Astyanax mexicanus: one gene and its partners. The protein of the gene in region 3 interacts with the protein of the main gene of each other region in a pairwise test. Links are inferred from orthologs where the notes say so. Each region holds a gene or a part of one and is shown on either strand. Other genes may lie near its edges. The genes, in order: ing5a, rbm15 and nav2b.

What was found.
Region 1: the proteins of nav2b (region 3) and ing5a interact in binary tests that used the Homo sapiens proteins (3 or more experiments, as listed by UniProt). The two-hybrid records come from large-scale screens. The link is inferred for Astyanax mexicanus from reciprocal best matches to the Homo sapiens genes NAV2 and ING5.
Region 2: the proteins of nav2b (region 3) and rbm15 interact in binary tests that used the Homo sapiens proteins (3 or more experiments, as listed by UniProt). The two-hybrid records come from large-scale screens. The link is inferred for Astyanax mexicanus from reciprocal best matches to the Homo sapiens genes NAV2 and RBM15.

Annotation. Positions count from the first base shown.
Region 1 is NC_064423.1:28,854,253-28,864,401, forward strand, and holds the start of ing5a (inhibitor of growth protein 5a), read left to right. Parts: upstream 1-5,049; 5' UTR 5,050-5,150; coding exon 5,151-5,187; intron 5,188-7,289; coding exon 7,290-7,361; intron 7,362-8,598; coding exon 8,599-8,765; intron 8,766-8,853; coding exon 8,854-8,965; intron 8,966-9,323; coding exon 9,324-9,423; intron 9,424-9,642; coding exon 9,643-9,778; intron 9,779-9,991; coding exon 9,992-10,053; intron 10,054-10,149. Other genes in the region: protein IMPACT, read right to left, coding at 70-155, 1,089-1,151, 2,332-2,384, 3,479-3,607, 3,730-3,771. UniProt on the Homo sapiens protein: Component of the HBO1 complex, which specifically mediates acetylation of histone H3 at 'Lys-14' (H3K14ac) and, to a lower extent, acetylation of histone H4. Component of the MOZ/MORF complex which has a histone H3 acetyltransferase activity.
Region 2 is NC_064419.1:41,294,779-41,305,745, forward strand, and holds the start of rbm15 (RNA-binding protein 15), read right to left. Parts: upstream 4,839-10,967; 5' UTR 4,657-4,838; coding exon 2,068-4,656; 3' UTR 1-2,067. UniProt on the Homo sapiens protein: RNA-binding protein that acts as a key regulator of N6-methyladenosine (m6A) methylation of RNAs, thereby regulating different processes, such as hematopoietic cell homeostasis, alternative splicing of mRNAs and X chromosome inactivation mediated by Xist RNA.
Region 3 is NC_064417.1:6,271,629-6,282,349, forward strand, and holds the start of nav2b (neuron navigator 2), read left to right. Parts: upstream 1-5,877; 5' UTR 5,878-6,456; coding exon 6,457-6,693; intron 6,694-10,721. UniProt on the Homo sapiens protein: Possesses 3' to 5' helicase activity and exonuclease activity. Involved in neuronal development, specifically in the development of different sensory organs.

The DNA of each region.
Region 1 (10,149 bases), on a different chromosome or scaffold from region 3:
AAATAACCTGGTGCATAATTTGATATGCCGTAATGAGTCCAGTGACACACTCTGACTCTGAGCTTTTACCTGCATCTGCTCGCTGCAACCGTTCTATCAGGAATTCTCTGATTTTCTCCACCCAGAGGTAAAGAATGCTCTCTCCAACATTTTCCCTGTAATGATAAAACATAAACAATACAACATATAAAGGCACTCTATTTATACACACATGGCATGGTCATTATTATTACATCATTAATGTACGAGTACTCACTCCTAAGAAATATTCAAGTTATTCAAGGGTTCTTAAGTCTACATTAAGTAGGCACCAAATATTCAGCATCTGAAATTATTCGGGTAAAGATCAAACAATAACTAATATATTTCAAGTCATATTGCAGTGTTTCCTCTAGAACCTTTTTTAGCAGTGACAGAAGGTTCCCACTTTGCACCACCAACACCCAACCATCCCCAACTGCAGCAGCAGGCCACAACTGTGGAAACACAATAATGCTGTGGAAACACAATAATGTGCTTTACTGGTGTGTCTGATGGAACACTAAAAATGTTCAGTGTAAATTGTAATTTTGTAATAGCTTTCCTTTAAATACTAGGCTTTTTTTTTTTTTTTCCCCAATAGTGAAAAAAGTGGGGGAATTAATGAAAACCACTAGAATGTCTACAGGTGCCACAGAATGCACATATTGGGCACTGGGTATTTTCTTGAATTAATAAAATTGTTTATGTATATGACTTTGGTTGGGGTGAAAATGCTAACATGAAGCTTTACAAGCCTATTTTGCTTTAAAAGGAAACATGCAGAGTTTTCTTTTACAGAGGGCTCGAGGAAGGCCCACAACCACACATCATGGCTTAGCTTAGCATTCCTTTGTTTTTAGCACTGAAACAAGAAAATTTATTACCATACAGATACCAGATACCTTTGCCAATACCTCCCCAAACTTTGACATAAGTTAGTTGGACAAACTGTAGAACATTAGCTTTTAGCCTTGCACAAATATGTGAGCAATAGAGAAGAGCATCAGAAAAATGCTGTAAATATAAATGTTACTGAATACAGAGTAAGAGATTTGGGAGATGCTTACAGATACAGTTCTTCCAGGCTGTTGCAGATTTTGACTCTGTCTGGTCCTCTTAGCCATCCTGCACTGGAAAATAAATCAAACAAACAAATGTTAGGGCTTAACTGTCAGGTAATGTGTTAGTAATGAAGAACAGTTAGAACTAGAGCTGGCCAAAATAATGATATTTATGATTGAAGTGGTTCATGTTGAACATAATCTTAAAATCTTCACTATATAATAGAGCATTATGTGAGAATTGGGTATTTTTTACACGAGATTCCCCTACAGTCAGGAAGAAGAATGCTTTACACATGCATTTCTGGACAAGCTAAGAGATAAAGAACTGGTAAATGAAGCGAACGAAGCTTGTGGACTATAGCAGTACAGGAATATTATAGGATTTTACACAGATTTATTACATAGATTGTGCAGTGTTACACAGTTCTTTCAAGCATTCTCCTGTTTGATTCACCTAATATTTTCTATTCTAATACTATAGACTACATTATACAGTCAGTTAAGCATCACAATGATTTCAAAGCTGATATTTTAAGCGAAAAATGCTACATAATGCTACGTTAAAGAACACTGGCCAACTACATATTTGCACTACTATGAAAGCAAATAGTTGCTTATTTTGGTCAAATTTGAACAAATAAGACAAACATGATTAAATCAACACTTGACAAGTCCAGCTGCTACTTCAATTCTGTCTACATTTCCACATCTAATCTCCCAGCAAAGAAAAAAATACTGACCATGAAGACAAACACCTGCACCACACCAGCAAATAAGTGCTAATAAAGTGAATCATACACATGGCAGCCTGTGAGAAGCCAAATATATTACTGTTCCTTCTTATTGTCAGACTGAATCAGTGCACAGTCGCTTCAAACACAGCTTTTCCCCCACTGCATTAAGTCTGGTGGCCAAGGACACACAGGCAGGGTCAATGTATCTCAAGTCACAGTCCACTCTCACACACACACAACTCTCCTATTTTTTTCCACCTGTGACTCACAACACACTGTGTTTGAGAATGTGTCAGTCAGATGCACATTAACATTATAAACAGATTTGCAATACTGCACAGAACAGCACAAAAGAGCCACTAGATTGTGTTTTATGTTCTCTATGTGTTCAGATGTTTATCTATTTGTCTTTATGTTGCATGCATTGTCGTTTCACAATCAGTGATCACTGATATGTAAATAAACTCATAAAGCTAGATCATCATCCTCTCACACAAACACACTGCACTTACTTTATCTGGTATATTGGAGGTGCTGAGCTTGGGTAGTCTTCTGGGAGTATGATCTTACAAAAGAAAAACAATATGTGTTTCATGACTTTCAAATAAGTTTATATTATTACACCAGTAACAAAAAATCACATTACGGACATTTTAAACAATCCATGTACATGACCTCAGTCATTTACCTTCATAGTTGATTAAATACAAATAAACTTCACCAAATTGTACCCAGTCACAAATTGACCACTTCATCCATAACAGAAAACCCCACACAACAAATATTCATTAAAAGGTCATTGCGTATTAAAAGGGTGTAACTGCATTAATATCTATTAAACTATCATATATATTCTTCATAAAAAGTCTCACTTGAGATTTAACATAATGATCAAAAATAAACTAAAGAGCTTAAATTTGCTGTTGCAACTAATCCTAATTTTAATCATAAAAATATACTATTAATATTACTATGAATTAGCATAATGCCAATAGTGCTACCACTACTACTAATATTGCAATACTACTAATAACACCACTTACTAACTCTATTTCTGTACTATGAAAGAAAACATAAGTGTTACTTGCAATTTCTGACGTTTGACAACTCTGATGAACTGATCCTGTACAACAAAGGAAAATCTTACTCTTCCTTTTCTGGGGCAGTATAATTTTGTATTGACTGACCTTCAGTTCTTTACTTTTCTTGAGTAGCAGCTCTTGCAATATAACATTACTCTTCACAAAACAATTGATGCGCGAAATTCAAGTAATTAATTAATTAACACAGCAGGGATGGCCATTTAATTAACACAGCAAGGAAGGCCATTTCCAGGTAACTCTACGTCATAAAATTGCCTGAGAAAATACAGCCAAGATGTGAAAAGCTAAGCAAAAGGTATTTTGAAGAATCTAACATACAAAACATATTTGTGTGTTTAAAACGTTTTTGTTTACTAAATAATTCCATATGTTTTCCTTCATAGTTTGGATGACTTTAGTATCAATGTGCAATGCTGAATTTAAGGTGTGGTATTGTAATAATAATAATAATAATAATAATAATAATAATAATAATAATAATAATAATAATAAACTTAGTTATAATTATAATAATATCTAAGTACAAAAGTAAATAAAAGAAAGATTAACGTTGTACCTGCAGACAAACAGACCACCTGGGCTCATAAATATCATCTGATATTTTGATGCAGAATATTCTCGAAGCCTCATCAATCACACACCATTCATCACCGTATATGGAGGAAAGTGCTTCGATCTCTTCAACCTGTGGAAATAACTTTATATCAAAAACGCAGAACACAAGCTTTCATACAAACCCCAACTTCTCACAGCCTCCTCCACACACACATAACTAAACACAGAGAGATTATACAAACTCCTGCCTACCTGAGACTGCAGGTCACTCGAGTTCTCCACGCCTGTGTCCATTTATTTAACACACATATCTGTAAATGAATCCAGTCACACACAGCAAACACTCTCTCACACACTCTCCTCTCACACTCCTGAACCTTTACTGTAGTTCTCTCGCTGCACAGAGTTAGCAGAGGAGATTATTTCCGGGGTCAAACACGAGCTCTGTCAAATGGCCATTAAAGCGCGAGTTATGTAGAATTTTCTATATACGTAATTATTTTGTTACTCTACAATTTCCTGTCGTATATAAGTACGTTATACGTTATATGTTCCACAAAAATGAATGGAGAAACCTAAACACTTAAGTTTGACTGCCTCGGTCCCTATAGGTGGAGAAAGCTGTCAATCACTGTACATCACTCCGCCCTGTTTATTCTCGTCTGTTCTGTGTGTTGTAGAGCTGAAATATTATATACATAACAACACATACATGAGCAATTCTTTATTACAATTAAAGTTTTGTAGTTTTATTATTTTTTTATTTGCAGATGTGCCAAAATAGACGCAAACACGATTTAGAGCTACCAAAGGGATTTTATTTTGCAATAAAAATTCTATATAAAACAAAGTAGCTCCCTTCAACCGTCCAAGCAGCTTTTATACTGAACAAGGTGCAAAAACAACCACCTTATATCAGTCAAAACATAAAAATCACTGCTACATAAAAGTTCTTCACAGGTTTCTGAAAGAAGCACAATCTACTGAGATTCCCCATGGCAGGATATATATGTCTATAGATGTACAATAATAAATACCTCATTTTAAAATTATTTTAAACCCGTAATTTGATTAATAAAAATAACCTTGATAATTAAGCAATACAATGTTTACCATTTGCAATGACTCTTCACTCTCATCAGTACTCTAGCTAGCTTTAAATAAACATTTTAAATTAATCAAATACATGTATTACCCTCTCTGTTATGTCCTGAGCCATAGAAAGGTTACTGGCTGCAATTGGTCTTCTTATAGATTTAAAATTATTATTTTTTAATTGATACAAATCTTTTGAAAGGATGATTTGAGTTTTTTAGTTAAGTGGTTTAAATCAGTTTTTTTAAGTATTTTAAAGTATTTAAGTTTATTAAAGTTTATTTTTTAAACAAATATCTTATTCCTCTATGGTTCATTACATGTGTATATGCATATACATACATAAATGTATTTATTAAATCAATTAAAAATAAATATTTTTAATATAATAATCATTTAAAATAACGTAATAAGCCAAACCCCAAAAGTATCCAATCAGAGGAAAGAATGCAAAACCACAACGTCTCAACCAATGGGAACGATGCGGGTCATGAATTATTAATAAGATGCCAATGTTGTTCTGGATCACGCGTTGAGAAAAACATTAAATCTCTGTATTCTTTTAAAGGGTTGGAATAATGGCGACAGCTATTTACCTCGAACACTACCTGGACAGTAAGTATAAATGAAACCGTGTGGTTATTATGGTTAGATGTTTAAATGTCTGAGGCTGCGCTGTTTTTGGCGGCCCAGCGAGCTGCTGCTGCTGCTGCTTGTGGCGTAAGCGAGATAACCGAGCTAATGTGGCTAAGCTAATCTCAGATCGCTAAAGTCTTGGTACGAAAACAGGGAAACTATAAGCAGTTTCTGGATATTTCCTACAGCTTTAAGACCAGTGACCGACTTGTTTGTCTACAAGTTATATTTTAGATTAAAGTGAAGCGGATTAAATGTACAGTGGGGGATTTTACCCGCTAGTTTAGCTTTAGCCGCGTTAGCATGGGCCGGCCTAGGTTAGCTAGCTATGGCGAAAGTTTGGCAGCCGTGCCTGAAACTTTAGGCAGGACTCATATGTTTACGTTTTCCCTAAATTTAAGTTTAATAAATAACCTAGTTACCGCATTCACTGTAACACGGTTAATCTGGCTAGTATATCTGTTCTGCGTCCACTAACGATAATCAGCACTGTTGACGCAGTTATGTGAAAATTTTTATTGATCATTGATATTGACATACACTAGTTAGCGTTAGTTTAGTTAGTAAGTAGGGCTGGGCGATATGGATTAAAAATGTTATCGCGATATTTTTTTTTACCAGAAAGTCGCTATACGATAACGTTATATACCTCGATATATTTCCTTTCCATATGGTAATAACAAAAAGAATCTTTGAGACAAAACTAACGTTACATGTTCCAAATTTTATACATGCACTTTAAAATTCAGCTGTAGAGTGAACATGAGATATACTCTAGAGATGGAAAGATCAATTGGTTATGTATCCATAACCATACTGGGAACTGGAAGAAGAGAGGCAAACTGTTAGAGCTAGTTAGAACATAACATATTCTATATCGATATATAAACGATATGTTTCATCTTATACAGCTCTGGAAAAACCCAAGACTGCTTACAAATGATGAGTTTCTTTGATTTTACCAAATTGAAAACCTCTGACATATTATCAAGAGGAAGATGGATGATCACAAGTCATCAAACCAAACTGAAATGCTTACATTTTTGCACCAGGAGTGGCATAAAGTTATTTAAAAGCAGTGTGTAAGACTGGTGAAGAAGAACATGCCAAGATGCATGAAAACTGTGATTTAAAGGGGGGGTTATTCCACCAAATATTGATTTCTAAACTCTTAAAACTTTATGAATATGAACTTGTGCTCTTTGCATTATTTGAGGTCTGAAAGCTGTGCATATTTTTTGTTATTTCAGCCATTTCTCATTTTCTCCAAATACATGCTCTAAATGTCAATATTTTTATTTGGAATTTGGGAGAAATATTGTCTGTAGTTTATAGAATAAAACAACAATGTTCATTTTCCTCAACCATATACATATAAATAGCAAAATCATAGAAACTGATTCAGATACTGAAGTGGTCTCTGTCAACAATATTAGTGATCCTTAAAACTTGATATATATTACCCAGCCATATTAGTAAGTATACTACTGTTTATAAACATCTCTTCTAATTAGCTAGCTAATAAAACATTCGGCTACTTTTAGTTTCTTGTTGCCCATTGCTGTCACAAATGTGCAAATGCACCCACATACATAGCTTTTCTATTTTATGTGGGGAAAGTACTGCCAATAGAATAGAACTTTCTGGAACAGATAAACATGAACCTATGTTTGCCATTCATTTTTTTACAGCAATGCTTCAAAGTCTTTTTTAATAGAACTTTTATTTTTGTCTAAAATACGAATGAGTATTTTTGAAGTCTTAAAGCAGCACTGATGTATTGTTTCTTTAATAATAACATTCAAAAGAAAAGGGATTTTTAGCTACACATTTTTGTCTTTAAAAGTATCTAAATAATCTTGACTACATTTCTCAAATAAAATTAAATAAAAAGATTACCCCACAAAGTTTAAAAAGCAGTCAAAAATGTATTTGAATGTTTGTGTGAGCAAATTAATTATTAGGTACTGCCCACCTCTGTAAGTTTGCTTTGCCAATGAGGAAAATTTCATGTCATTTCATGATGTGCATATTATATAGGATATATTACTTTATTTTAAAAACAATATCTGTTATTTCAGGCATTGAGAATTTGCCATGTGAACTGCAGAGAAATTTTACACTCATGAGGGAGCTGGACAACAGGACAGAGGGTAAGTCTAAATAGGGCTGATCTATAAATCAGTATCAATATGTACAGTTACCTCCAAAAGTATTGGAAAAGTAAGACCAACCCATTTATATTGCTGTAGACTGAAAACGTTTGGGTTTGACAAAAAACAACTAAGAAAAAATATCATTATTTCAGCTTTTATTTCCAGGTATTTACATCTGGATCTGATAAATTGTTCAGAAGATGGCACCGTTTATCTGAACCCACCATTTGACACCAACAGACAAAATTAAACTATAGTGAATACGTTTTTATATTTAGTTGCAAATCCTTTGGTTGCAATAATTGCATCAGGTCTGTGTCCCATTGATATCACTAAACCTTTGCTTTCTATTTTTGTGATGCTTTTCCAGACAGTCTGTTTTTGTTGTTGCATGATGAACAATCTCCCCATCAGTTTGGTTTTATTTTTCTTCAAATAACAGATACATGTTTCTGTAGACTTCTGAGTTAACAGTACAGCACTGTCCTGTCTGTTAAATTGTCTCATCTGTTGTATTTCTTGTATTTATTGTAATGTTACACTTTTGCACTTTGTTAGTCTATTGTATTGTTTCCATGTTGCACTATGGTTCCAGGGGAACGTAATTTCATTACACTGTGTACGTGTACTTGGATTTAATGACAATAAAAGTCCCTTAACCTGATTGCCTTGATATCAATGACGATTAATAAGCCTCTCATAGAGGAGGCCATGCAAGCCCAAGCCACGACATAACCTCCATAACATCTTTCAGTTCCAGATATAAAAACTGAAATTTATATATTTTTTCTCATTCATCTTTTAATGTCAAACCCAAATATTTTCAGTTTACAGCAATAATAAATGGATCAACTCTACTGTTCCAATACTTTTTGAGGGGACTGTATGTATTGTGATAGAAATGTCTTAATAACAATCATAACTTTTTTTTTTTTTTTAAATACACATTTCCAATATTTCATTGTGTAATTTATTATTATTTTCAGCATGTGTTATTGGCTGGTGTTCATTACAGACAGCATTACACAAATTTGACTTTTGTTCTGTGCTTTTTTCTATTGTTCATATCAATATTGGAATTATGTCTTATCAGCCAAAATTAATAAAAATATATTGTACTATAAAGTCTGCAGTCATGCAGTGCTCATGTTGTCTGAGCACAGTGTTGTTCAGTCCTGAATACGGCTTTTATAATTTAGTTTAAGCATGTTTTGTTTTCTCTTTTTCATTTTAGAAAAGAAAGGAGAGATCGATAAGCTTGCAGAAGAGTATATAAAAAATGTACGGAACCTCGCATCCGAGCAGAGGGTGGAGCACCTGCAGAAAATCCAAAATGCTTACAGCAAATGTAAAGAATTCAGCGATGACAAAGTGCAGCTTGCTATGCAGACATATGAAATGGTAAGTGACTGCATATTGATTTCTGTCTTCCAAAGCAACAAAATCAACAGCTGTATTTTATATATTAATCAATACTAATGCTTTCTAGGTTGACAAGCACATTCGGAGACTAGACGCAGACCTGGCACGCTTTGAGAATGAGCTGAAGGAGAAGCTGGATGTCGGGGGCTATGAGAGTCCAGATACTAGAGCACTCAAAAGTAAGTAGTTGGTACAGTGACTATAAAACATTGTAAACTGGACATGTTCCTTCCTGATTGCAGAAACTAGGATCAGGATTATCTATCCTAGTTGTGACACTAAAAATAATTCCATGGAAGTTAGATTTCTGCAAAGCAAGGCCTTTAGAGATGCATTTTTTGAAACCACAAATGACTGGGTAGCATGCTCTGTCGTTTTATCTCAGTCTGATGTAATATTGCTGAACCAGATTGTGTCTGCCTCTCCAATATCTTAAAAAAAACATTATTATTATTTAATGATTGCTTTAAACAAACAAGTAAATGTATTAATGTATTTCATCGAAATGGAATTCTTCTTTTTTTTCTTATTTTACAGAAGGAGGTGGGCGGGGACTTAAAGAAAAACGAGGACCCAAAGGCAGAGGAAGAAAATGCTCGGATGATGACTCACCCAGAAAGAAGAAAATGAAAAACAGGTTATTATTTTTATTTATAAAATAAAAGTTGATAAATAAAAGTTTAATTTAAATATTTTCAGATTCATTGCCTAGTGTTGTTTAGTTACTGTGGTAACTGTGTATCTATCACAGTTTGAAGTTTCTTTTTTTTTATCTTACACATTCATCATGAAGTCACATTTTCTAAAGCTGTGGTAAATATTAATAAGTCTTATGTTTCATTTCTTTTTTTCTCAGTAATGAATTCTCAGACTCGCTCTTACCAGTACACCCATCCGATGTTCTGGACATGCCAGTGGATCCCAATGAGCCCACATACTGTCTGTGCCACCAAGTCTCATATGGAGAAATGATCGGCTGTGACAACCCAGACGTAAGCCTAATATATTACTTCTCTCTGTTTGTGGTTTAAATAAAATGTATTATTACTATTTAGTAATAAGACCCATGGAAATGTGCTATTTTTGTTTCATTAAAAGCATATGTACTATTCAGAAGCAAAATACATATTTATATAGTGTATATATATATTGTTTTTACTTTACATCAGTCCATATCAATTTACCTCCTTTTCTTTTGTAAATAGTGTCCAATTGAGTGGTTTCACTTTGCTTGTGTGGATCTCACAACCAAACCCAAAGGGAAATGGTAGGTCATTTATATGTGTAGTTAATTCTGATAAGACAGAGAACCAAATAGCTTAAATCTAAAAAGAAGCACATCTGTACACTGATACTAACATAC
Region 2 (10,967 bases), on a different chromosome or scaffold from region 3:
AACCCTTCCTTAAACTGCAACTGACTTAAATCAACTTAAGAGAAGAAAACAAAACAGGAAAAAAAAATGCATGACGTAAAGCTATAAGCTACCAGTCTGAAAATAAATGAAACACACTGAGCGTCAATATATCTGTAATATAACTGATGAGAAATCAGAAAACTTGAAACATACTTTAATTCAGGGCTGCATGTGAATAGAAATTAAAGTTCTTATATTTATTTCAAGTAACGGTTTATTAACAGATTCTGCTTTACCAATTTCAGATAGTCCATGTCCAACAAACATGTATCTCCACTTTTTTTCATTTTTAGTTTAGCAGCTGTCTTTCACATTGTCAAAATTTGCCCAAAGAATTTAAGAAAGGATGACCAATAGAAATGCTCCAAAATTACATACACTTCTCCTGTAGAGTTAAAGCTTTGAAGACACATGTTTGTCTTGAAACAGCAATGAGATATTCTATTGTTTGTTTGTTGTAACCAAATAATCTTACTATTTAAACAATTTTAATTAATCAAAATAAAATATTTTGCAAATATTCTAAAAAAAAAAAAAAAAAAAGGTTAAGCACAGAGCAGCCCTGTTTGAAGTATGAAATACAATGATAACTGTGGTTAATATAGGTAAGATATATTATGATAGGATTACATTATTAATTACATCACATCAATAATCAAGTAACTGTGAACCTTAAGGTACATCATATTTTTGTACCTACATGTAAATTTGAGAGGATCATCATATCTTCCTGAATTACATTAATGTGGGAAAAACAACAAAACCTTGGCAAAAACTGTGTTGACAAAAATGTAAATGAAAAGACCAGATTTGTGAAATATTTGAGTGCATTCCAAAGCTATAATTACTAAAAACTTGATGGCATAATAATAATTATTTTAAATAATTAATGATAATACCAACAGCACTGAAATTAATGGAAACCAGGGACTGATTAAATCACCAATCTTTAACAGAGATTATCGTGTACTCAGTGTGGGAGAAGAGAAAAACTCAAATTATAAAATGGGAAATGTCTCAAATGACTAGATTTTACTACAAATTTAAATGACTTTAGGAAGGAAAAGAAAGACACAGTATACCATATCTCACACTGATCAATATGCTTCACACAGCAGAAACCTTTATCTTTAACCTTTTGAAATTATAAACTTAATATGCACTCAACTTACTGTACCTTTTATAAACATGTAAAATTAAAAGATGTAGCTCAAATTAAACCAAATATTCATGTTTTAAGAGGTCCTGGGTATAATAAAATCTGACACAAATCAATAATTTGTAGCCTCAGTAGCTCTTTTTGTCCAGTTCCACACTGATGAACATTTTAATACTAAGGTACATTGTGTGTCTATCACTGTATACAACATTAGCCTGTATTATTATGCAGAACTCTGAACGTGAAATACCTGTGCAACAGTTTCAAAACAGGACAATGGAGAAAACATGCAGTTTCTACGTGAGAAAGATCTTGACTGCTGTAGGTGGCTACAGAACTACACACCTAGGCCTATGTTACACCTTATCACTGACTCGTTAAGTGATTGTTTCAAGCATTAAGTCACAAGAAGTCAATTACCTTTACCTTTTAAATCAGAAAAATGAACATAACGACATGAATCAATCAACATCTGTGTTATTACTTGTAAGGGCAACCGCTTGTAGTCTAAACTTCTATGCAAAAAAGTATAGGATTTATAACAGTACAGAATATTCTGGCAAATATTTAATTTTCTAATTCTATGTCTGCCTTTTTATCAACCACTCTTATAATACAGCTTTGCACAAAGATGATTTAGTTTGGACAAAAGACTCATAACTTGTAATGATAAGCAAATATTGCGATAAGGAAACCAATTCAGCTATCTGAGTGTGGCATGTTTTATCCCCATGCATTGCATTTGGCAGAACAGATGACACAAACCCACTTTAACCCATTTAAACTAGAATTTGCTGCACCAGGCTTAACAGAGCATGCACAATTGAGACACATTTTTTTTTTCTTTTTTTTTTTTTACAATGCATTTTTTTGGTGTGTTCTGATTGTTAAGATGCTCCGCGGACGATAATCATGACCAGGTAGTCCTCTTCTGTTTTGGCAAGAGCTTTCGCAGAGGAATCTAAGAACTGCTGAGAGAAATCACAGGGCGGAAAGGCATGCAGTACCCCCGTGTTGTCCTTATCGCGACTGCCCCCGACAGGTAGGCTGATGACCCCGGCTGCCTGCTTTTGCTTCAGGTAGGAGACCAGGTTTCGCAGGGGACGCTGCGTCGATGCTGCTGGATCTGCTGAGGAGGAGGATGACGACGTCGTGTCCTCGGAGCTGCCAGGAACTGCCAGGAGAACCGCATACCCGCCCGGGCCTGCGACTTTGATGCGGCGAGACACCTCATCCATCTTGGGCTGGTCGAGGCGAAGGCGCTGGGTGATGCGGAGCTGGGTGACCTTGCCTCCGGTGCTGCCGTCGACGAGGAGACTGCTGGCCACGCTGAGGTCACCATCCAGGATGTGCATGCTGGCTGGAAAGTTGCTGTTTTTCAGGAGGAGCATGCCGTTCCAGGCCATGCTCAGCTTTCCTCCTGAATCTTGCTTAGATGACTGGCTGCCTTTGGAGCTGCCCTCAGCTCTGTCTCTTTTAGAGGGGCCTTTGCTTGCTTCTCCTGCTTTGCGCTTTCTCTCAGATGGGCTTGTTCCGATGCCGGACTCTGACAGGCTGCTGCTGCTCTTGAGGCGCTTTTCTGCAGGTCCTCTGTCCAGGCTGCTGCGGCGTTCTCTGGCTGGGGACGGCCGCTCTGCTCGAAGCGGACGCTCTGAGTCACTTAAACGCCCATCACGGCTGCTGCCTCCAGGGCTGCCCTCCAGAGAAGGTGGTCTCCTGCGTCGTGCCGCCCACTCGCTGCTGCTGTCAGGTGAGCATTCCAGGTGGCGCCCATCCTCTAGTAGGCGCCGTTTGCGAGCAGCATCCCTGCCAGGCAGCTCACGCTCCAGGGACCAGGGCTCTCTTGGACGGCGTTCTCTCTCCAAGTGCTCTAGAGGTTCGAAAGCAGGAGTCCTTACTCTTTCACGAATAGCAGGGGCTGGCCACTCAGCCCCAGCATACAGCTCCCGTTCTCTAAAGTGCAGTGGTGGTGGAGTCCTTTCTCTGACCCTGATTGCTTCAGGAGTGGCACGGTGGACGAAAGACTCCGCCACGAGGTCATAGTGTGGCAGAGGAAGCGGCTGCAAGAACTGCTGCTGGTATCTGTGCTCAGTGTCTGCAAAGTCCACCCTCAGCCTTCTGTCTGGACCTCCCAGAGGAAATCCACGCATGTGAGTGCAGGCTGCCTGAGCTGCATCCAAGCTTTCATACTGGATGTACGCCCACGTGTCACCTTTTCTGTAGTCTATAGTCCTAATGGTGCCAAAGCGATCAAACTCCCTCGCTAAAGCAGCTAGAGGAACCCAAAGCCCTAGGCCACCCACCCAAAGGCGTGTGGTTGGCGTGGCCTTGCCATAGCCGATTTTTATGGCGTTTCTGCCCACCACCTTTCCAGACATGCTGATCTTAGCTCTGTGGGCCATGTCCAAATTCTCAAACTTGAGAAAGCCATATGTGCTGTTCTGGCCACGCGTAGGTCTCTTGATGTCCACCTCTGTAATGGTCCCAAAACGATCAAACGCCCTCCTCAAATCGCTTTCTGTGACTGTAATGTCCAAGTTACCCAGGAATAAAGTTCTGTTGGCTCTTTGGTCGTCCTCTGGAGAGATGAAGTCCTCTTCTCTGAAGGCAGCGGCAGCAGCAGCAGCCCTCTCAGCGATGTAGGCAGGCCTGGCGGCTCTTGCTTCATAGAAGGCAAACTCCCTCTCTCTCTCCAGCTCTCTGGGTAGAGGAGGGGGAGGGGGTGGAGGAAGGCGGCCCAGAGCGAGCTGCTGTAACCTGTAGTCTCTGTAGCCGAGCCCAGTAGGGGAGAGAGGCCTCTGGGTGTGTAAATGTCTGTGGCCAGCCACTGCTGGGAAATGGTCCTTGTCCACCGGGCTGCGGCTTCTCCTCCGGTTCATGTACACGGCCTCGATTTTCAGAGGGCGGTCGTACAGCACTAGGCGGCCGCGGGCGTGCTTGGCGGCCCGGGCGTCGTCAGGCCTCCTAAAGTTCACAAACGCGATTCTCTCGTCGTTTACGCGGCTAATCTTCACGCTTACGTCGCCGAATTTCTTGAATTCGTGGAAAAGCCCGTCCTCGATCTCCTCGTCGCTTAATTGTGAGCCTAGCTCGCTGATTTTCAGCGTTTTGTACTCACTGTCGTTGGCGGGGAGCGGAGTCCGCGGCTCGGCCCGCGAGTTGCCCCTAGCAGCGGCGGCGGCGACTGCCTCCAGCGACAGGCCCGAGTTGTGGTTCTTCGAGTTGGGGCTGGTGTAGCTGTTCCCGGCGCGGCTGGAAACATGTCCGTCAAAGTCCCTACTGTCTCTTTTATCGCCTAGAAGGCTCCTTCTCGCTGAACCTCCCTCGCTTTTGGAGGAACTGTTGCCGTTGTTGCTCCCTCCGGACATGGAAATCACCCCCATTTTCTTACTGCTCGGGTGGCTCCCTCCGCGGTCTCGCAGATCATCCAGCGCCCTCGATCGCTTTTTCACGGGGGAACGCTCTTTCCCTTTCATGTCGAGCACTTTAAACCTGCGCCTGGCCTAATAAACACTCACAACTTGTATAAACTACACCCTAGTTACGCAGATTTAAACGAAAAAACTACGAAAATCCGCCCTGAATCATTCCCGCAGCAAAACAACTGCATTCGCCATCTTGTCTCCACAGCTTCAACACACACTAGCAAACCTAGCTAACGCTAACTCAGGCGAGTCGGGCGGGCGTACCTCGCCCGAGCAATATGATTGGTTGGAATGTCTGCGAGCGCTTGTTTCTATTGGCTGAAACTCACGTCAATCACAAACTCAGAACAACGCCCAGCTAAAACTGGATTATAGCGTGCCTGCCCACTTCAAATCTCTGACGGATGTGTCAGTAGCGTTACTCTAGAGCAACCGATAGAGGGAGCCCGCGAGGGAGTCTTAAATGAATGGGACTGAGTGGGGCTAAACGGCTAAAAACACAAATTAAAACATTGTCCAACTACTTCTTCAACATTTTAATTTAATTTCAGAAAATATATTCACGTATTTCGCTAAAAACGTAAAACAAACATATATTTATGTTTCGATTTGTCCACAGCAAGCATGTTTCACTCAGTAAAAACGCTAGCATTGCTGCTATTGTTTGTGAGATCACTGAGCTGATGTTGGAGATACAGTCAGAGAACACGTTTAAAAGCTGTATAACTGCAGTTTACACTGTTTCTGCGCTGTTAAAACATTTTATATAGTTTTGTTTAGAGGAAATGAGAATTTGTTTCCCATTAAAAAATGATCAGACATTTATAATATCCTATTTTGATCCATTGCTCCATAAGAACCCATTCATTTTGAGCTCACTCAGAAGCGCCCTCTGCTGGTTGAACAAAGCCAGAAGACGTGCTAAAATGACTGATCTCCTCTCTATAGTTTCTTTGGCCCAGCTCTCGCCTAGCCCTCGTGGCATGCGGAAATGAGCCCTCAGAAAGGACGTTTAAATAATTCAACTTTCAGCCTTTTTTTAACGTTTAAAAGGAATTTTCACGCATTTGATCTATAATAAAGTTTATATATAATGATACGAAGGCTTAAATTGTGCAGCAAGATGTGTAAAAACGGTTTATTTTGGTTTATTTAAAATATTTGACCTCTGCTAGAGGCAATGCAGCATTTAATAGCAGTTCATTTTATGTTCAGTAGATGTCGCCGCCTGTATTCTGTATACAGCTCTAGACCAGTAAATACGTTTTTAAATAAATTTTAAATAAATATTAATAATAATAATACTTTAATAATAATAAAATGTATTCTGTGTTGGCTACAAATAATTAGGCAAAAAAAAGAAGAAAATGAACCACTATGTGGCTATTTTTTATAGTTTATATATCTCACAAAATGCTAGAGAATTTAATCAAAATATACTTGGATATGTGAGATGACATTTTATATGATAAAGATGTAAATTGAGTCAATATTACTTTATTATTTCCTTGCAACTGAACTGTAAAATGACCTAATTTGATTGAACCCAGAATTATTTATTAGGTATAGGTATTTATTAAATGAGCAATATGTAAAATGTAAACACATTTCTTGTAAGCTTTGCTGCAGGTTTTTGATTTTATGTTGTGTGGCATCACCTGTGATGGGGGATATAGCAGCAGCTGAATGGGTGGGATCATTGGTTTAGTTAAATTGGGAGAAAAATGGGAGAAAACACACAATGATGTTCTAGCAATGTTACCAGAATGTTTAAAATCGTTAAATAAAATGCTCTAAAAACTTCCAGAAACATTCAGTAAACTTGACTCCACTGCACTGCTTTTCTGATCAGTGATTCTTATTATTTTCTTTTCCTTTATCTGCTTATCTCATTCACGTAATCTGGGCCCTAATCAGTTTGCCTTTGTGGCTGTATCAGGCCGTGCTGTCTCGACGGGCCGGGCTGGAATTCAAAGCTGTGGGTGTGGAGAGTGTTTCTGACAGCCTCGCTCTCTCTCGGCTCTATTGGAAACACATGTCAGCTCTCTTAAAAACACGACATGGTGTGCTAGACTGGCACTTAATGTGGTTCTGCTCTGCTGTCATGCTGAAGATTCGGTGGAAAGACGTGGTAACAAATACTCGCCCTAAAACAATCCTCCACCGCTGTGCGTTTGGAGAGTGGGGTAAGATGACAGTGGCTTTGAACAGGTTGTAACTGCAGCTGTTTAGCTCTGTTTCTCAGCCTGGAAAAGAGCTAAAGAGCTACATCTCAGATGTTATCTAAATTAGGCAGCTTGTCCTAAAAAAAGTGTCTGACAGAACTGGCATGCGGTCATTAGATGCAGATGGAGCTGTCTCACACAGCACCAGCACGCTTCAGGCCTTGTCACATCTGCTGTGGATGTTCTACCACCCCTGTAGCTGTATTTAGCTGGTCTGGATGCTGCTGGAATGTTTGTTTTATATAATGAATAAAAACAATGCACTGAACCACCCTGATTCTAATGTGTTTATTTCCACACATACAATACACTACAATGCATTAACATGTCACATACTGTATCCAGGGGCGTAGCAGCAAATTCTGGGCCCTGTACACCCTCTATGTTAATGGGCCCCTATCCATGCCAGTAAACAAAGGAAAGTGAGCGAAAAAAAATCAGGATTTTCATGGGCCCCTCTCCCTACTCGGGCCCTGGGTAGTCAGGTCCACTTTTCCCCCCACTACCACGCCCATGACTGTATCATGTGTCAGGAACCACCTGTAGTATTGGGTGCCATTACTTTTGCCATGTCTACTGGTAGCTAGCTAGATGTCAGGTTTAAGAGCATTTTTAGCTCCCCTTAAAAAGTTCATTGTACATAGCAATGATATTTTATTCATTTATAAACCAAAACCAATTCAAAACATTATTTTATATAATTTATGAATCCTAATACAGTATTTTTGGATTTAATGCCCGACACAAGGTTTTATAAAATCTACAATACTACTCCTCTTTGGGCATGACAGTATCATGCATAATGTATTTAATTCACTGATTAACATTTTTTATTCTTATTGTATTGTATCGTATTTTATTATTTTTAGATATTTTTATACTATACTGAACCCTTTACCATTTAGTTGGACTTTTGTGTAGAGGACAAATTCAATCACAATATCTTAATAAAGAAGATTTTTAACTTAACTAAAATCTACGTGTGTATTTGGTTTCTATGATCCGGATCATTTGATGAGTTCATTTACTTGGAGCGTTTTCTCCCTCTGTTGGGTTTGGTTTCACACAGGCATAAACCTAAACTCACCAAAATACGCACCAATAAACCACGTGGGCACATTGTGTCCTCTGATTGGTCAGAGCTGTCTGGTGTGGGAGAAATAAAAACAAAATATATCGAGAAGATTCTGTGTTTCAGTGCAGATATCTGTGCAGTGTGAAGCTGCTTTAACACAGGATGCTGAAGATTTGGCGCAGTGCTTTCAAACACAGCGTTTTTGATATGCAGTGCAGATGTACAGTAAACAGAGTTGTGCAGCTGCGAGCAGTGAACACAGCACACACAGTGCGTGTAAACAGCACGGAGCAGCAGCAGAGACAGCATTTGTTCCTAGCTGTGGTAATTAGCATTATCTGGCTAATATATCAAATTTTAAACTGTGCCTTATCAGCAGTTTAGCTTAAATAAAAGGAGTATGTTTGATAGCTGGGTCATTTCTTTTGGTTCTTTTGGGACTGGAAAAAAGTTGTTTTTATCTGCACCTTAAGTAAAATTTTCTATAAGAATGTTTCCTAAGCCAACAGAAAGTAGTTTAAAGGTTTTAGTTTATGGGTTTAGCTGGGATTGGTTAGGTTATAGTTGGGTTTAGTTGATTTAAGTTAAGTTGATGGTACCACCCCATGCCAAGTGGTGGACCTCTAAAGGTACAGTTGAGTTTACTGTCATTTTTTCTAAAAGTCTGGTCTCCCAGAAACAGGACTGAAAGCAAGTGGTCCAGGCCTCCAGACGGCTTGATTTGTTTTTCCGCAGTGGTTTACTTCAGATAAACTAAACCTCTTGTATTAGAGTTGAACCACTTCCTTTCTGACAGATTCTTAGAGAATGTAATTTAAAACCAGAGGAAGTGAGTGTTTGTGTTTAATGAATGCATATCTATGGGTGCCCTCCTGCTCTTCTAGTGCACTCTATGGCACACTTACTAGATAGTGTCCCAAATGGTTTTCTTTCCATCAGAGAAAATGTGATGGGATGCTGTGTTCTACAGTTTTTTTCTACAGATGAGAAAACACAATAAAATGTTTGGTTAAATGCTCCTAAATGCTCTACCTGTGGATTATATATGATGTAGTACCTAATAGTACAATGTTAATCAATGATGCAGATATACAGCTCTTGAAAAAAATAAGAGACCACCAAAAAATTATGGGTTTCTTTGATTTTACCAAATTAAAAACCTCTGTAATATAATCAGGAGGAAGATGGATGATCACAAGCCATCAAACCCAACTGAACTGCTTGAATCCTTGCAGCAGGAGTGTAAAGGCATAAAGTTATCCAAAAGCAGTGTGTAAGACTGGTGGAGGAGAACATGCCAAGATGGAAACTGTGATTAAAAACCAGGGTTATTCCACCAAATATTGATTTCTGAACTCTTAAAACTTATATATAAATATGAACTTGTTTTCTTTGCATTATTTGAGGTCTGAAAGCTCTGCATCATTTTTGTTATTTCAGTTGTTTCTCATTTTCTGCAAATAAATGCTCTAAATGACAATATTTTTATTTGGAATTTGGAAGTCTGTAGTTTATAAAATAAAACAACACTGATTCAGACTCTGAAACTGATTCAGAAACTGATCTGTATTTTAAATGCTGCATTACAGCTTCTTCACTTCTTCAGTGCTGGTGAGGACCCATGTTGCTTTGCTTTAATTTAATTACATTTTTGGTTGTACGGGTTCCTTTCTGCAGTCCTTTTGATTTACAACAACAGTCTTACAGTGTGACACTTCCCCTTCAGACACTGCTCAAACACTCGAACAGCTCTGCAGAAAAAATATGGTCACAATATGGTCAGACATTAATCACACAGACTAAAGCCATTAAAACACAACATCCACAGTTGCTATAAATTATGTGCTGCTTTCAAGAATACCAAAGGGGATGTTTTAATGATTTAGCAGCTTAAAGCCTAAAGGAAAACTACAACAATACAATTAGCTTTATATGTTTCATATATATTTGAGGCAGCAATAAACTAAATTGTCTATTAAAACATTTTAACTGTTCTTCTTCCTGGGGTTAGAAAAACAAAAGGAGTGAAATATAAAAGCCATTTATTAATATTCATACTAATGTAAAAACTCAGCATACATTCATTTAACATATGAGATTAGCAACTTTAAATATTTTTTTTTGTTTTACAAAAATGTCATTCTGTTCTGGTTCATACAGAGTTTATATACAATTATGCACAAGATGAGGAAAAAAAAACATTTACCTGTTAGAAAAACAGCATATCGTCATACAAATGTACAGTACCAAAAACCTTGTATCTCCAAAACAGCAACTTTACAGGAGTTGAACAACAATATCTTAATTTTTAAATGGATTTTTTTTTTTTGCAAAATGATCCGTTTAATAGGACAGTTTAACGCAATGGGAAGAATGAAACAACTGCCATATTCATATTCTTTTAGTACATATAAAAAAAATGCAAAAACTAAGAATAGAGGTGTGTAATATTGTATCATTCACAAAATAAAAACCTATGCAATATTTTAAACAATAAAAAATAATCCATATTGTGATTCGATATTGGTATTGTCTTAAAAACAGCCTATTTTGTATTTGTTTTGCTATTTATTGTGAAGCTTTAAAGATATTTTGTATATTTTTTAATGTTTGCATTGTTTTGTGGTATATTTATTTGGTACATTACATAATTTACAATACAATATTTATCGTTAAATTATCATCTTCCTACTGCTGTGTACAAAAATAAGAAATGTTTACAGATTTTATTTGTTTCTACTGAATGTTTAAAACTTTTATACTAAATAACACTTTGACAAGTTTTTGGAGGCAGTAGTATATTCTTGAAGTTTCATAATATTATTTTAGGACCATATCACACGCTCTTAATGGAGATACAAGCTTTTTGCATGAGAGTGACAATACACAGATCAAGCATAACATTATGACCATTATCAATTATCGTTATCAATCTTATTAGCTCTACTGATCATATACTATATGAGTAATTTTATAATTACAGAATGTAGTTCTGTATCTATTTCTCTGGATACTTTATTATTATCCTCTTTTACCCTGTTCTTCTTTAATGATCAGAACCC
Region 3 (10,721 bases):
GACCATCCAGACTGTTATCAGCAACAAGTGCAATAGGAAAGGTCTGTCATGGAATTGATTTGTGTCAGAACTTCTATGATGGTAGAATTAATGCAGAAATATTCCCTTTAGAGCAACATATGCCTGTTTTAAAGCAGTCTTTCCCGGGGCATCCAGCATTATTAAACAAGATAATGCAAAAACAAAGCCTGGGCTGGTTGTAGCAAAGCCAAAATGTGAAAAGGCAACCCTGTTCTGTTGTACACCTTTGGGTACATATGCAGGTAGAATATGACAAAACAACACCTGAAACACTTCAGTGCTTGGTGTCATTATTTTCAAATTATATATTTTAAGTGATGTGAGAAGGAATGACAATATTGCAAAGCAGTGAATACACTCCTGATAAAAATCTTGAGGCCAGTTTAAAATGGCAAGAATTTGCGCTTTATCTTACTTATATTATCTTAAGAAGGTTATAAGTAGTGCTTCACAACCAAAAAAAAAGAAATTGGTGCAAGAGTCAAAAACTTTTGAGCAACCTGTTTATTGACAAATGTGTTTACCGTATTTTTCGGACTATAAGGCGCACTTAAAATCCTTTCATTTTCCCTAAAACTGTCAGTGCGCCTTATAATCTGATGCACTTTATGTATGAATTCTACCAGTCAGGTATTAAGGAGCAGTAAAACCACTCCACTGAAGTACAGCTTTTTAAGGGTGAGTTTTCAGTGAAGTTTCTATAACACTAAGGCTGGGTGCAGCAGCATTAGCATTAGCATTAGCCTCTAACAGCAGCGCTAGCTCTTTCGGCATTCAGAGACGAGTATATTTGACTGTAGTCTGCAGCTTTTTGCAGTTTACTGTGTCAAAACAAGCTATGTGGGACAAACTGCTAGCTGATAGCTCCCTGGGTTTCCAGAATTCGATGTGTACCAGTTAATGATTTGTGCTAATTAATGATTATGTGATTATTTTAGTACTTGTTAGCTACATTAGCCTTGTTGCTGCTCTCAAAAAAAAGGAACATCAGACACCAAACATGCCATGGACAGTCATGTGGGAAAGATATGCTAGATCTTCAGCCCTAAATTACTTTCAGACCAGGTTTGCTAGGTGTATGGTGTTTTTATACCTGCTACTGTTGCTATTTTGGTGCACAGCACTAATACACAAAATGTGCTTCCCTCCGGAGGAGTCTCTGAGGTTTGAACCACCAAACCCATCACAGCTCTGTCAAATTGGTTCCACATTGCAAATTGTTTTTATTTGAAGCATCAGCTTAGCAACCCACACCTACCACCCGCAGTTATTGTGGTGTGTTTTTTTAATACGCTTCCCTTTGCCATATTTCCCATGATGTTATTTTATGATCCGGCCTCCGCTTTGTTTGTTTCTCCTGTTTCAGCCTTGGAGGTCTGATTCTGAGAGTTTCCTTTTTTATTTTCTCGACCACACCAAGCTTGTTTCATACTGATGGAATTATTCTGCTGCTTCTGCTGAGTGCTCTGGCTGTTTAGGGCATGGTTATGAGTTTGCGAATATTCTAAATTTAGAATACACTTGATTGAGCCCAAATCTTTTTATGGTCCAGTATACTATAGAAGTTTAGAATACAGTGCCCTGGAACCTGTTGCCAGTTCACTGGTTGACCTTCCTTGAAGTGCTTTCAGTAGATACTGACCACTGCAAACTAGGAACACCCCATAATACCTGCTTGAAATGTTTGTCTCTTTTCAGAGTTTCTCAGATTTTCATGCTTCCGAAGAGATAAAAAGGTTTTGCACAACAGTGACAACATGTACAGTGGTTTGAAAAAGTTTGGGCACCCCTGATCATTTTAATCATGATTTTCCTTTATAAATAATTGGTTGTTCAGTTCAGCAATTTCAGTTAAATATATCATATAGCAGATGAACACAGTAATATAATGTTTGAGAAGTGAAATGAAGTTCATAGGATTTACAGAAAGTGTGCAGAAATCCTTTATACTAAATTAGGCAGGTGCCTAAATTTGGGTGACTTTTTTGGGGTCGTTTTATTGATTTGAATACATTTAGCACTAATTATTGGTACACAAAATTAGTTTGGTAAGATTATTGACCCTTGACCTACATACACCAATTATGAGAAAGGGTTAAGGTTTCCAATTGCATGTTTTCTCCTCTTTGCATCTTCTCTGAACTGTGTCAACATGGGAGCCTCAAAACACAACTCTCAAATGACCTGAAAAAAAAAGATTGTTCAACATCATGGTTTAGTGAAAGGATACAAAAAGCTCTCTTAGAGATTTTAGCTGTCAGTTTTCACTGTGAGGAAGTTTTCATAGTGAGAAAATAGACAATTGAAGACCACAGACACAGTTCTAGTTAAGGACTCAAGTGGCAGAATAAGAAAAATCTCAGATAATCAGAGGAGAAGGATGGTGAGAACAGTCATAATGAACTTGCGGACCTCCAGAGCTCCACACACCTACAACATCATGCATCCTGCTGCAGATGGTGTCACTGTGCATCGTTCAACTATTCAGCGCATTTTGCACAAGGAGAGGCTGTATGGGAGAGTAATTAATGCAGAAGAAGCCTTTTCTGTGCACACGCCACAAACAGAGTCGCTTCAGGTATGCTAAAGCTAAAGCACATTTGGACGAGCCAGCTTCATTTTGGAATAAGGTGCTGTGGACTGATGAATTTAGAATTAAGAGTAAGTTGGAGGGCAGTATGCATGGTGGGAAAAGAACAAACAGCTATTGCACACTTTGGGTAAATCATATAAGCTTTATTTCACTTCTTAAATATCACTGTGTTCTTCTGCTGTATGATATATTTAACTGAAATTGCTAATCCAAACAACTAATGATTTATAGAGGAAAATCTCTTTTATACCACTGTACATTCAGCTACATATTAAGGTCTTGGGTCTTCACAAACCACCAAAAGAACATCAGTTTTCCTCAGTACTTTGCTTCTGTTACTATCTGGAGTTAAAAGTTCTTTCCTCAGCTGGTGTTTTGGTTCTGGATGTGGAAAGTGCTGACTAACATGCTCACTCAAACATCTCACATAGGTGTTTAAGTAGGTTGAGATCTGTTGACTGTGAAAGTTATAGCACATGATTTACATCGTTTTCATATTCCTCAAACTCTTTAGTGACCTCTGCTCCTGCATTTAGCACTAATGCACATCGTCAGGGTCACTGAGTGTACTGGTTGACTCATAACTCATAAACCTGTTTATTATTGAGTTTATTTTTTATTTTTTTCCCATAGATCTAAATGCAGAGGTCAGTCTAGGTCCTGGCGTTGTTTGTTCCTTGTTCAATCTGTGCCCTAAGATTAAATGAACAAAAAAAAAGGTCAACTGGTTCTGCTTTGTGTAATTTGAAATTTTTTGAAAATTTAACATAACTTAAATACTACCATAATTTGAGATCTTTTAAGTTGATTAAATCAAACTAAATACAAAACTCGTGTGTGAGTTTGATCAACTTTGATCAGTTTTGAGTTAAGGTGAGTTGATTCAGTTGAGTAATCCTGGCGCTGATGAGTAAACCACCTTTCCTATTGGCTCCTGGGACCATCAATTTGCATACTGGGTGTGCATATCTACCCCACCTTTACTCACCATCAACGTGAAGTCACATTGACTACCTTGAGTTGAGGCTACCTTTCTCAACTCCAGACCTTATAGATCTTATATAAGATCTATAACTTTCAGAATTCCAGTTTCTGGTCATGGATTTTATTTGATAGAAGTTAAGAGAACAGTTATTGGCTACAATAATTGATTGGCTAGTGTGACATCAGCAAAAAAATAAAAATCCTAATGTCTTGTGCATGCATACAAGTGTACTGTTGGTGTGCACATAGTTTAGTGTGTTATTTAAGCTCAAATAATTTAATTTTAGTGGTTGAAGATTTTTGTTTTTCTCAAACAATTTGAGTTTACTTAACTTATGAGGTTTCACAGTGCACATACCATCTGTGTCGTATGCTTGAATTTACTGTGCAGATATTTTTTGCTTGTCATGTTGATCCAGAATAAAGGTAAACATGTTTTCATTGGCAACAGAATATGGTGGATGTGCATAATTTTTTTTTCCCCACCACTCCAGGCATGCGTGATAACTCTACAGTACCATTTAGGTGCTCTTAACTGTGGTGCTGTTAAAGTTTCTGAGGCTGATAACTCTGATAAATTTATTCTGAATGAATATATTTTGGGGTGGTCTGACTCCTGATGAGAGCCAGTTTCACCAGTTTCATGTTTTTTTGATGTTCTTTAAAAACTGCACTTGATGATACTTTAAAATTGATTGACCTTCAAAGTATTTTTTTCTTTACTTAGTTGAGTAGTTCTTGCTTCTCATAATCTGGATTAGAACATTACTCAAATAGGGCTATTCACTGTATAACAATGTTTGATGCTCTCAAACACATTAAGAGGCAAACAATTCTTAAGACAAGAAATGAATTCTTGTCGAGTTTAGCACAGCTGTTAACTGAAAGCCTGAATTCTGGGTGACTCTACCTCATAAAGCTGACTGAGACAATCCAGCCAATATGTGCACATTTTTTATAGATTGGATGACTGGATAATTATCCAATGCGATGGATAGATGGTATTTTCAAATGGTCTCTTTAAGACATATTAAAAAAGTACTTTTTGACTGTATACAGGGAGGTTTTGGATTGTTGGTGGGTTTCTGTTTCTAGCCTGGCAGAGATTATTACTGAGCTCAATCTCTAGCCTACAGGAAGTGCTGCCCGAGCACAATTTTATCTCCCCCAGCTAAGGCTGTGGGTGCATAAACAAACACTCTCTCAGCATGGTGAAGGAAGTGTGACCAGGTATAGGAATTCCCCCGCAATCTTCCCCAGCTCCAGTTTATTGTAAGAAAGCGTTAGTATTTCAGCCTCTTAGCTTTGCGGCACTCTTTCCTATTACCAGTTAAGCCACTTCAGAGGGGATTATGAAACCCTTGTGTTTTGGTTAACCCAAATTGTCAGCATTAGAGCTCATTCCCACAGTGAATCTTGGTGTTTAGCAGCTTTCTGTCGGTTAGTGAATGCATGGTTGGAAAATTCTTCAACACTTAAGATATATCCTAAAACCCCTGTCATTTTAGTGTGGGAGGTTTCATGGCTAAATTGGAGCAGCATGGTGGCCAATCTTCATTAATTGCACATTGCCCCAGTAAGAGCAGAGTGTGAAGGTTCAATTAGCACGGTAAGAGCACAGTTTTGCTCAAAATATTGCAATGCACACAACATTATGGGTGACATACCAGAGTTCAAAAGAGGACAAATTGTTGGTGCACGTCTTGCTGCCGCATCTGTGACCAAGACAGCAAGTCTTTGTGATGCATCAAGAGCCACGGTATCCAGGGTAATGTCAGCATACCACCAAGAAGGACCAACCACATCCAACAGGATTAACTGTGGATGCTGTAAGAGGAAGCTGTCTGAAAGGGATGTTCGGGTGCTAACCCGGATTGTATTAAAAAAAAAAAACGTAAAACCACGGCTGTCCAAATCACGACAGAATTCAATGTGCACCTCAACTCTCCTGTTTCCACCAGAACTGTCCGTCAGGACAATAAATTATTGTGGTCTAAAACCAAGTGTTTCAGTTTCATTGTCCAACCCATGTATATGGGATTTATTGAGTTTAAGGTGCTCCCTTGCACCAACTCTCTTGGGATTGCCGACCACAGCAATCAGAAAGGCTGTGGTTGACTGCTGATTCTAACAGCTGATTAGCTTGACACCCAGGAGTGTTAGTCTTGAGCTTTCGTCTAAGACACATCTGCTGCCTCACTAATGGTCTTCCTCTTTAATCCCTCCCGAGCCTGAGGTGTTTACTGACTGTAGCTGCAACTGGAGGCTAGTTAAGCTTGGGCCCACAGATTGATGGTTCTACTCAGATGAGCTGAACTCATCTTCTCTCTTCCTGGCATTTTGGACTTTCTTAAGAAGGAAACTTTATTCTTCCTGGCATTTTGGACTTTCTTAAGAAGGAAACTTCCCTCGAGTGCTCTTCAGAATCTCAGCAGGTACTGGTTTCCTGACTGTTCTTCACTTTCTGAGCCTCAGAGCAGGTGGAATCCAGACTGTAGATTTCTAGACTGCAAGGAAATTGGAAAACGCAGATTCTTGAGACAATTGGAACTGGATATAAGTGTCTACAATGGATTTCTTATTAAACCCTGAGACTCTCCACAAGTCTGCTCAAGTGTGTACGCTGCTGAGGCTTCTCTGAACTGCCTGGGTTTGTGTGTGTGCATTTGAGTGTCTGGGGGCAGTCCACTGACTCGCACCAGCTGTTGAGCCAACAAGCGTGATTGCTCCAAGTACCGCTCCCACTCAAGTCAAGCAGGAGTGTATGTGTGTGTGGTGTATAAGTGTGTGTGCCACTGCCAGCCTCTGGAAGAACGCCACAGCTTTGCGACTCTGCTTGGACAGCAGAAGAGAGGAAAATGCCGGCCATTTTGGTCACCTCCACCATGAAGTCTGGATTGCCCAAGCCTGTCCACAGCGCATTGCCCATTCCCCAGTCTCCCAGCCACAGAAGAACCGGACACAACGGCAGCCCCAAGCTCAGCCATCCCAGCCTCATCCCACTGAGGAGCACCCTCTCCAGGAGACACAGTCAGACTGCAGGAGCGACGCTGAAGAAGAGTCAGACAGTCAAGGAGAAGATCGCCGACCCCCAGGTTTGAGTTCTTTGAGTTCTGAGCTTCTTGTGTTGCTTGTGTTGGAGATGGTTTGTTTTGCAAGTGCGTGCGTGTGTGTGTGTGTGTGTGTGTGTGTGTAAGTGGGTGTAAGGGAGTCAGTTCTGTTATAGTCTGTGTGTGTGTTTGTAAGAGAGAGAGACAGTGTGTGTACAGAAAGGATTATACTTCATTCATAGAAAAACAAGCCAGAAAGTGGAATTGCTATAAATGTTATGAATGAAATGTTATAAAACGTTTTGTGGTTCCAAAGTTTTTGATTAGAGTTAGGTTTGTTTAATCTGATTTGGAAACTTTTTCATCACATACATATACAGCTCTGGAAAAAAAAGAGACCATTAAAAACCTCTGGAATATAATCAAGAGAAAAATGGATGATCACAAGCCATCAAACCAAACTGAACTGCTTGAATTTTTGCACCGGGAGTAAAGCAGCATAAAGTAAGCAAAAGCAGTGTGTAAGACTGGTGGAGGAGAAAATGATGCCAAGAAAAAAACAAGGGTTATTCCACCAAATATTGATTTCTGAACTCATAATACTTAATAAATGTGAACTTGTTTTTTTTTTTTTTTTTTTTGTTTTTGCATTATTTAAGGTCTGAAGGCTCTGCATCTTTTTTTTGTTGTTATTTCAGCCATTTTTTTTTTTTTTTGCAAATAAATGCTCTAAATATCAAGATTTTTTTGTCTGTAGTTTATAGAATAAAACAACAATGGTAATTTTACTCAGACAAATATAACATATAAAGCTAAATCAGAGAAACTGATTCAGAAACTCAAGTGATCTCTTATTTTTTTCCAGAGCTGTATAATATATATTAGCACTACATACCGTACAAGTACAGAGCTATTGCTGCTTTCATTCAAACTTTCATTCAATCTGTGCTATTTTTTTTTGTAATAATGTATATCTGCCAGTTGTTCTTTACATTCTTTCCAAATTTGATGATAATGATTAGACCATAAAAAGGACTTGGACTTCCACTGAAAGTTAAGAATGTTTTTTCTTCTCCCATAAAGTTGCCATTTAGGGGGATAGAGTGAGCTTTGAGGTGGTTTGCTGCACTAGTGGCTTTGGAACTGCTGACCACACCAATCAGAGAGGCTGTCAAAAAGTGAAAAATGTCAAAAATAGAGATAAAAAGGCAAGACAGCGACTGCATGCACTTAAATGTAATGACATGTCCCATGTACGTATATAGTTGCTGTCATGCAAAAAATAGTTTGAGTTCCTTGTATCTCTAAAACTAGCAACTTTACAAGACAAGGAACAAAACGTCCAATGGAAGTTAATGTAAAAGAAGTCATTTTTGGAGTATTTCTATTAGTTCATTCATTATTGCATTTTGAGACAATGGAAAGAGCAACAAGAAGATTCAGATTATGTTAGAAAGGGAAAAAAGGATCACAGATTTACAAAGTTTTTGGTCAGAGAGTGGGAAACATGTGGTACAGTGAATAAGATGCTTCATGCTTATAACTATGAAATTATATATCATTATCATAAAATAGTCTTAAAATAACTATATGAATAATATATTTTATTGCAATGATTTTGAGACAATATATCATCCAAACATTCAAAGTTATGCTGGTGAAGTACTGAAGAGCTTCCTCAGCACTGAAGGGGTTAATCTGCACCTGCAGGCAGTTGTGGCTTTCGTAAAGCTTTGTAGTAGGAGCGCATAGTAATGTTTTAATAAGACTTTGTTTATATATGTGAGTGTGTGTTTTCACAGCTTTCTCAGGGCTTTTTTTCCTGGACGTCCTGTGTAAAAATATGTCCAGCTGTAGTACAGGATCAGCATTATTAGACTGCTTTCATTCACTCACAGGTGCTTAAACGGCCACACAGAGGCTTTACCTGGTTTAGTGTGGGGTTAAATGGAGATTAACACCTTGCTTGAGGTGTTAGTGTGTGTTTTTGTTTGTGTCAGTGTCAGTATGGCAGGTCAGAGACCAAACGTGGGGTATTTAGTTGATGGAAAACCAGCTTTAGGGTCAGTTTGTATGAAATACATTTTGCAGGAGTTTGCTTTTAATTGAAATCAATGCTATTAGATTTTATTATAATATTTTTATTATAATACACTCATTGAAAAAAGGGGTTGGACAATGAAACTGAAACACCTGGTTTTAGACCACAATAATTGATTGTGGTGACGGAGAGTTCTGGTGGAAACAGGAGAGTTGAGGTGCACATTGAATAGTTTTTTGGATACAATCCAGGTTAGCACCCAAACATCCCTTTCAGACAGCTTCCTCTTACAGCGTCCACAGTTAATCCTGTTGGATGTGGTTGGTCCTTCTTGGTGGTATGCTGACATTACCCTGGATACTGCGGCTCTTGATACATCGCAAAGACTTGCTGTCTTGGTCACAGATGCGCCAGCAAGACGTGCACCAACAATTTGTCTCTTTTGAACTCTGTTATGTCTCCCATAATGTTGTGTGCATTGCAATATTTTGAGCAAAACTGTGCTCTTACCCTGCTAATTGAACCTTCACACTCTGCTCTTACTGGTGCAATGTGCAGTGTTACAGTTGAATGCAACTTTATATGAATGAAGTTACTGTGCACAGCTCTGGAAAAAAAAAATAAGAGACCACTTAAAAAAAACTTTGTTTTTACCAAGTTGAAACCTCTGAAGTTATCCAAAATCAGCGTGTAAGACTGGTGGAGGAGAACATGCCAAGACGCTTGAAAACTGTGATTAAAAACCAGGGTTATTTGGTAATTCCAGGTTAATTAGGCAATTCCAGTTTAAAGGGAAGCTGGAGATATTGGAGATATCAGGATTGGTCCTGACAGTGTATAGACCATATTCTAAGTTAGTTTTGTATATCAAACACATCAAAATAGTTCAAATAAAGATTTCTTAAGCTTAGCACTCACACCTCAAAGCACAGGGGGCTCAAACAGGAGCTTTGAAAGCCACGTTTGTTTGAGCTGGACTGCCATGACCTTTGGGTTCCATGCCCGGTGAATAAATTCAGTATATATATTCTGTTGTTTTAAGAATAGACTAGGCAGTTCTGTTCAAATGTGACTTTCTGCCTCATTACACAACTCTACACTGAGCCTCCAGCTGCTCTCTGAGTGTGTGTGTGTGTGTGTGTGTGTGTGTGTGTGTGTGTGTGTGTGTGTGAGTGTGTGTATTTATTCTGCCCCTGCTACAGTGAGGAACTTCACTCTTCATGTGGTTTGGAGGATGAAACACTCGGCCGCCTGGTCTGTCATTATAGTATTACGCACAGAAACACACCAACACACACACACACACACAGCAGTGGAGGTTTTACTACAGTGCTCTATTAGTAGTGGTGTGCCACAGTGCAGGTGGGCGCATGGCCATGTGGGATCCAAGCTCACACACATACACACACATATACACACACACACACTTACACCACTATAGAGCACATCAATGGGAATAGTGCACTGGCACTGATCCAAATACTACTATATAAGCAAGTATAATAGTGTAAATGATCTCACACACACAGACAGACAGACAGTATATCCTCATGTTCTCTAATATAAACCCACATGTGAACCCATCTGCACACATACGAACACGTCCATCACTCACTTGCTTATATAAAGCTCATATTCCGTTGGGTTTTGCACTTCGGTCCCTTTTTAATACTGGCACAAAGTGCTGGAAAACTCAGGGCTGTAAAAATAAAACGTGGTGCAGGGTGTTTTGGTGGGCGACGGCTTTTCGGAGTAAGGCTGCAGTTTCCGACCCGAGCGACTAGCTTGTAAATCCCAGCTAATAATTTGTCGCATAACTCAAATCGTTTATTCTTATTGAAATGAAAGGGGTGAGGGATGGTTGGAAGATGAACTGACTTCACCAATAAAGCTCTAAAAGGTTGAGGAGCCTTCATTTCAGTGGATATCCTGCCTGAAGCAACATGTGGCTTTGTGTATGAAGTGTATTGGTTTTAATGTACTACCCTGTCAGATCACAGGATACAGGTACTTTGAGATGGCAGATGATGAG